2 linked regions of the Kluyveromyces lactis genome follow. The protein of the gene in region 2 interacts with the protein of the main gene of each other region in a pairwise test. Links are inferred from orthologs where the notes say so. Each region holds a gene or a part of one and is shown on either strand. Other genes may lie near its edges. The genes, in order: RAD5 and RAD18.

Region 1 (4,595 bases), on a different chromosome or scaffold from region 2:
TCTAACCGTCCGTCGAATTTGTAAATAATTACCTGATCTCTTGGCAAATGCGAACGTAGCTCTATTTCTAGAATGTCTAGGAATGATGAGAACTGAGAAAATACGATTATTTGTTCACCAGGAGAAGTTTCTTGTATTTGCTTGAGATGCCTCAATAAAGCTTTAATTTTAGTCGATTGGAAATGTGAATGAAACGAAATTAGTTCATATCCTCTTTCAGCATCAATTGGCTCCTTTAGCTTTAACACATTAGCTTCTGAGATCGGCATTCTACAATATGGACAGTTGATGGATAGTTTTTTATTTTGCTGAAATTCAATGTATTCTGCCAAACAAGGTTCACAAAATGTGTGGAGACACTCTGTTATAGAGACCGCAGACAGCGGTTCAATACACTCAGTGGTGCAAATAGCACATTCAAAAGAAGGTAATTGCTCTGAAGCGCTGTGAATATCACGAAAGTTCGCACTTAAAGCATCCAATTTATCTTGAGAAATGGAACTTTTTGGTGACTTAATATTTTTTGGCATGAGGATGGAGGAGATGTTTTGAGTTGAGTTCTCCAGATCTTCAAGATCTGGGTCTCCGAGATCTGGTGTCTTTTTGAGTAAATCCAAATGACAGCAGACTTGTCTAAGTCTTAAAATATGGACCAAGATATTAGTGTAGTTCTTCAATAGATCACCTTTGGCCAACCCTTCTTTAACAGAGTTTTCCGCATCTTCTAACATGGATTGATAAACTCTTTTCTCACTGGATGAAAGTTGCAACTTTTCGACGATTACTTCCTTTGGAGGTAAAGAGACTAAAGGTTTGCCATCAACATCCTTCATATTCTTCGTTCTTCTGAGAAGCACAGGCTCCAATACTGCATTTATGACATCAAATGCCTGCGCATAGTTACCTTTCTCGAAAGGAACTGAAACGTAACGCTTCCAATAGTTGATGTGAGACCAGGGCTCTAAGTTCAAGAACTGAACTAAGGAAAATAGATCGTCAAGTCGATTGATGATTGGTGTTCCTGTCAAGATCCATTTTCTGGAACTCCGCAAGGCTATGACAGCTTTAGATGTCCTTGTACTTCTATTTCTAATCGTATGACCTTCATCCAATATTATTCTAAAGAAGACCACATTGAATAATCCCGATGTTGAGGTTCTCCCATATTCGCTCTGAATTATCCCATAAGTAGTTATGATTACTGAGGGAGCGTTGGGGCCAAGCACATACGCCCTTAAATCTTTAATATTATTCCCGTAATAAATTTCACAACGTTTTTTGAGGTCCTTGTTGGCCTTTTCGAATTCTGATTGCCACTGATTCAATAAGGACATCGGCACTACTATCAACGTCGTCCTGTAAGCATAAGTGTCATGCTTATGTTGAGAATGGCGTAATGGAGAGGAATCCACTTGAGAAGACATCTCCTTCATAGAAGGCTTTTTGGTTGACTCAATTTTCTTTTCATGAGCCTCATCATAGCTAGCAGTACAAATCAATGCTAAAGCTGATATTGTTTTCCCTAGACCCATCTCATCCGCCAAAATACCTCCATTGATTATCGTCTTAATGACCGGCTTCTCGATAGAAAACTCACCAGTGTATAAATTAGCATAAAAGAAGCAATCATCTTCGTGGTTTGGAGTCCCTTGTTTTGAATTAGATGGCCAGCGGAATTTCTTCCATAGTGGATTCATACTATTCCCATCAATAGACACTTCTGCGGCTTTCTCTGATAAATGACTATACTCGTATTCTCTTTTGAGCATCCATGACAAACTTTGCTTTTGGTACCTTCTCAATTGCAATTTAAAAAGTGATTCATCTGGGGTAGTTTCTGGTAAGTTTTGCAATGAGGCCGCGGACTGTGTAATTCTGTAAAATGATTTTAGTTGATTGATGTTCAAAGCTTCATCCTGAAACTGGGAACTAGAAACAGTGTTTTCTTGGTAGTTAGGTATCATCTCATTTTTGGTGTCTCCGTACACTGGTTGTATATTTATCGCATCAAACAATGCCATTATCGCTCCGGCGCGATGCAACTGACGTGTGTCCATGCCATGGTCATTGATAAAAGATTTGTTCAGAATACTTCCGCCTTCAATGCGGACGAAAGCCTGTGAGGTCAAATAACAATCAATTCTGATGTAAATATTATCTCCAACACTGAATCTCTTACCATTATTAATGAGAAGATATGGCTCCAGACTGACCTGTTCGCTGTAGTCTAAAAGTGGGTACAATATTCTTGCAACATCTTCAGGCATTCGACCAAGTTCTCTATCCTGTGAGGTATCGATTAAGCGAACTAAATGCGAACAGTGCTGGTGCTGAAGTGATTTACCTAAGGGAAGATCCTTCGGTACAGATTTTTTAAAACCTAAACGGGATCCGATAGGAACTGGTTTTACGGTTGGCCGTGTAGCGAATCCCATAGTATGAATAGACCCAATGTAACGAGACCATCGGTTCCTTCCCTTGTCAGATGACATAGGTGATTCTAAACCTGCTTGGGTGCTGGTCCTCTTATTTGTAAACAGTTGGGATAATTGGGACGAAGACGGCAGAATAGACAATTCGTCATCATTTTCTTCATCCGACAAATCTATCACCTCTATATTATCACCAGCCGGCATTTTAGATTCAGTTTTACTTTTGGAAAGTAATTCCTTGTCCTCAAAGAATTTATCAGCTGCAATACTTATACCATCTTTGAGCAGACCATATGAACTCCAAAGAGTGTGGAGTTGAGAGGACGAAATCATATTTTCTCCAAGAATCTCCTTCAAAGATTCAAAAAACCTTTCCTTATGATTAGATGTATTACTTGATACTTCTGAGGAACTTTCAACATGTCCTTGGCCATCATCAGAATCATCTGCCTCATCCTGTACAAAAAGAGATCGAGATTCGTTCAAATTTATTACAGATTCATCTTCATCACGAAAGAACCTTGGTTTTTCATCAGCTTTTTGCGGCTGTGTCATACTTTGGGTGCCCGTATTGCTAGAATCAGGTCAACTGAAAGATATATATGGGTAGTGTTCCAAGTATTCCTTTGCTGTGCCTGAAATGATTAGTAAAGAGATGAGCTGAGATGAGACGCGAATAAGTTAACAATTTCTTAATGCAAAACAAACGCACGTGACGCGTAAATGAATAAAGTTTTTGTGAATAAAAAAAACTTCGAACTTGAAAACTTCCAGAAAATACCACGTTGTGGAAACATAATGGAAATAAGAAACAAAATAGAAACAAAAGAGAAATCGGTTCGTATTCCTATGAAGTACCACAAGCTGAAATTTCAAAGCATCGAAACAATTTCATTTCCCAATGTCAGACAATAAAAGTATAGAGAGAGAGAGAGAAAGAACTTGGATTCTATATGAGTTTTAGTGCTAACAATCCCGAAAAGATCGGACTTAACTCTGGATAACTGAAAATAGCGGGGTTCTGCGGGGTTTAAGTTCAATTACTACCAGAGAAGACTGTAATCCAGGACTGTTTCCATCCAATACTTATCTCCGTTTAGAAGTACGTTTTCGACACACTGTGTGAGATTATATGTTATATTATAACTGTTATAGAGATGAGTTGGAATGGTAACAAGTTGGTATAAAATATGGTATCATACCACGCAGGTGATATTCATCCTTTTATTTGTTGGTTTTTCTGTTGTTGTTCCTTTAGATTGTATTGTGCAAGCGTCAGACTCTAGCAACGATGCAGTTAATACCTTTATTGTGGTCGGTGCAGCTGTTGTATTAGTGGTATTTGGGATTTCTATTAGTTTTGCTCGTGTATTGATCTTTCGAAGATCATTACAAGATATACCGAAGAAATACATTCCAGTAACTGCGCAGGATATGCGTCATAAACCTTCAAGGGAATATGTGATTGAAAATATGAAGAGAGCTGGAGAATTGGCGGAAAAGTTTAAAGTACCGAAAGAGCCTGTCTTACATGCTGGCATGGAACCAAAAGACAGTGATATGTTTCCTGAACACTTGAAATATGCGGAAATTGTTAAATTTATCTCTGATAGGTTTAGATTCGACGGGGCTTTGCTGTTGAATTTTGTCACTGAATCGGATCTCAGTACAACTTTCAAAACAGCACTTCATAAACTTTTCGAGAATGAAAAACACCCTTATAAGCAGTATTTGGATGAGTTTATCTCGCTTTATGAGAAATTCCGATTTAGTGGACAAGATATTGAACGAAACGATTTCGTAAAATTCTTAAGACTCTACAAATATCTCGCTGATTTATCGAATAATTTGGATTTAACAAGAATCGAGTCTGTCCCATCCCAATTTCTTCACGTTCCTACTGAAGATTATGACACTGATGCCAGATCTAGAACGGACTCCGAATTCTCAACTCCATATTTACGACCTTACCCGTCTGACGCCTTCATGCATAATACAACCCCTGCATCACATGTGGGCTCTCGCTCCAGTAACTTCAGTTACGATATAGATGAGTCTGCAGAACCACCAGAATCTGTGGAAGACCAACAAAGATATCATGACATGCTCACTAGAGTAGACACTTACAATACCGTCATACATAGATGATTAAAATACCGGACA
Region 2 (3,449 bases):
CGAAAAGGAAAAATAAGTCATTTTCAATTTCTACCATGGATGACAAATCGAGTGATATTGGTGACGCGGGTGATACTTCCTTGGATCAAAGCAGTGACGGTGACGAAGAATCAACTTCAATAACCAATATACCTTCATCGCCACGATTAGGTGATCACGCCGAAGCTGCTGGTCATGGAAGCCATCAGTTTCCGGCTACGGATAAAGACTTCCTGTATTACGAAGATGAAAATATGGTCAAAAGACAAGACTCTAGTCATCTGGTGGGCCCGTTGAAATTTAACCATCGCTCTGTCAGTGCACATAACCATGAATATGATGATTTAATGGTTGCTGCCGTCTCTTCTCCTAAATTCAAAAAATATTCGTGTTCTTTCAACACATCATTTGAACCCGTATCTCCGATGAACAAGCTGCAGCTGCCATCAGTTAACCAGCAAAATTCAAAGACACCTATTAGGGAAAGCTCTGTCACTCCTCTGAAATTCAATATTTTTTCAACACCTAAAGATTTCAATAAAGATGGTCTGAACCCACCGGCGTCTACCAGAACTTGGCAAAGCCCGTCTCGTCTATTTGAAGATTATTATGCGTCATCACCAGTGTTTTTCAGAAACGTAATCAATCAATCTATAGATGATTGTATGATACAGTATGACACAGAAAAGAAATGTATTGATTCTCCCCGAAAGTTGAGTCTCAGAGATCAAACTTCTCCCAAGGAATCCAGTCAATCAGGATTAATTGATCACTCCAAATATTCATCAAACATTCTTTTTGGTGTTGATGTTTGTTCAGTGTGGAAAAGGGCGATTGCTCATTGTAACAGCAATGATGAAGTAGATAGCTATCGAGAAGAGGTAACAAAAAACGATTTGGACCCTCCTTTTGATGGGATGAACTAATGTTTGCTTTCTTTTTCATATAGAGTCTGTCGTTATCTCGATGACCATATTTTTTGTTTTTCTTCACAATCTGCCTGACGCTTGGGTTTCTTTATATGGCTGAGTTATTTGTCTCCTTTATTTCTTTCAATTTATTTCATTCCTGCGTTCAATTATTGTAGTGTACGCGCCTTTCTTTTATTCATTGGTGTCCTTTTTAAAGTATTTTTATTTGCAATAGTTATTGCTAATGTATGTATCATTATATCAATCATATTTAATTCTTACATTTCCTTCTAACCGATATTTACAATCAAAGGATATTATCCTGATAGACCATATGGCTTTGTTATTTGATCTGACTTCGTTTCATCGTTGTTTAATTAGCTCTGAATAGTGCTTCAATATTATGCCATACTTTGTAAATTACTAAAATACGATAAAAAGAAGCTAAAAGCAGATAATCCGAGTTACCTTCTGAAAAGTATCAAACATTAAATGCTGGAGTGCAGAGGAATCAACCAGAACTGTCATGAAGCTAAGTGTACCTGAAACTATATCGAATCCTCGTGATTTTCTTCACACGAGTGTTCCGCAACTTACTGACCTCGATTCACTTCTTCGATGTCATATCTGCAAAGATTTTTTAAAGGCATCGGTCTTGACGCCATGCGGTCATAGTTTCTGTTCCATTTGCATAAGAAAGTACCTTCAGAAAGAGAGCAAATGCCCATTATGTCTCAGTGACCTCACTGAGTCTATGCTACAAAAAGAGTTTCTAGTACAAGAGATTTGTTCAAGTTACGTGAAACTGCGAGGTTCTTTGCAGAAACACTTGACAATATCATCTCAGGAAGAGGAAAAAGATAATGAAATAATAATATCTGACGAGGCAGATACATCTGTAGGTACAAAGAGGGGTACTCCAGATAGCCCATCTTTATCTTCAGTAAGTACTAAAAAGAGAAAACATGATGGTATAACAACGTTGTTAATGAAAAAGAAAACGGATCATCCACAGCGGCAAGAGAAGAAGGCACAATGTCCTATATGCTCCAAGCACCTGCCGCTTTCAGAATTAGAAGGTTCGCATATTGATGAGTGTTTGAACAAAGGTAGTAGTTTGGAGAGATCGGATTCTTTTGAGATTTTGGATGAACGTACACCCTCCCCTTCGATGGAATCTTCGCATCAACCACTAGAAGAGAAGACTAGCCTGCCGTCTTCACATTTGCTAGAGGTAAAAGAAAAGAAGGATATCACGTACCATAACGAGAGGTACTTAAATTCTGGGCTGCTGCAGCAAAAGGAAAATAGATTACCAAGATTGGATTTTCAGTCTTTATCTATGACACAATTGAAACAGAAGCTTGCTTCTTTGGCTCTACCATCAAATGGCACCAAACAGCAAATGGTAGCGCGATACAAGCATTACGAAATGTTATGGAATAGTAATTTTTTAGATTCAATTGATCCTGTTGACGAAAATGAACTTAAACGTCGTCTATCCAGTTGGGAAGCTAAGCACAATACAGACCATTCTTCTGATAGCAATAGCATAACTAACCTTCTCAGGGGTAATAAACGTACTAATGCTATAAGTGCCATGATCAAACTTTTTAAAAGCGATAGATTTGATAGAAAAGGTTGGATGAGACATCACACGTCAACGTTTAAAGCATTAAAATTGGAAGCACAACGTTCCGATAAACTTGCAAAGATGAAGAAGGAAGAGCTCTCCCAGAAGAGTGATGCGAACTCAGAAGTAAGTTCGGAACCTATACTAAAGATTGATCAAACGTCAGAGAATAATTAATAGAATCTAATATTCTCAACTTTTCATTATTTATCGTATATCAGTATATAGTATCTATAATTCATCTTGAATGATGTCAGGAGATTCATTAAGGATATCTTCTCTTCCCTCTAAATTGCGACCTCCAGATTGCGATGGGGCTGATTGTACTCTTGTTTCCTCGACATTGCTATCACTTTGGGCACCCATAATATTTTCTTCGATTTCAGCGTTGGTAGGGTTTAATTCAGTGTCCAATATGTCCGAAGAGATTACAGGTGACTCAAAAGCTTCTATTGATTCAATATTACCGACAGCCTTAAGCTCGTTTAAGTCTGCAGCTGCAATTGAATCATCCATCGCCGATTATGAACTTCCCGATGTTGTTAATTCTTCGGAAACAGTAACTATGAATTCGCTTTCCTGATCCGCTGTTTTGGTAATGGAGGAAGAAATAGTAGTGCTGGATGAGAAGCTCGATTTAGCTTCTGTATCCTTTTCGGCAGATGAAATGTCTGATTCTTCGAGTTCTGTTTTATCAGTGGCTACAGACAGTTCAATTTCTGTCACAACGACTGTAGATGTGACAAGTTCTACGTCAAGGTTAGACTTTATTTGATCGATATGCGTAGCGGTATCTTCTTCCGCTTGTAATGAGGTACCTGGATAATGATCTTCTGATTGGACTTCATGAGCGACGTAGATATGATCTTCACTTGCAATTTCTGACTCAACAGATTCAAGTTCCTCTGCAACACTTGATGCCAATA

What was found.
Region 1: the proteins of RAD18 (region 2) and RAD5 interact in a two-hybrid assay, tested with the Saccharomyces cerevisiae proteins (4 studies listed by BioGRID). The link is inferred for Kluyveromyces lactis from reciprocal best matches to the Saccharomyces cerevisiae genes RAD18 and RAD5.

What each region holds. Positions count from the first base shown.
Region 1 is NC_006042.1:1,601,645-1,606,239, forward strand, and holds the start of RAD5 (DNA helicase RAD5), read right to left. Parts: upstream 2,988-4,595; coding exon 1-2,987. Other genes in the region: DLT1 (Dlt1p), read left to right, coding at 3,600-4,580. UniProt on the Saccharomyces cerevisiae protein: Probable helicase, member of the UBC2/RAD6 epistasis group. Functions with the DNA repair protein RAD18 in error-free postreplication DNA repair.
Region 2 is NC_006039.1:765,098-768,546, reverse strand, and holds RAD18 (E3 ubiquitin-protein ligase RAD18), read left to right. Parts: upstream 1-1,416; coding exon 1,417-2,700; downstream 2,701-3,449. Other genes in the region: HCM1 (Hcm1p), read left to right, coding at 1-905; GTPase-activating protein SED4, read right to left, coding at 3,046-3,449. UniProt on the Saccharomyces cerevisiae protein: E3 RING-finger protein, member of the UBC2/RAD6 epistasis group. Associates to the E2 ubiquitin conjugating enzyme UBC2/RAD6 to form the UBC2-RAD18 ubiquitin ligase complex involved in postreplicative repair (PRR) of damaged DNA.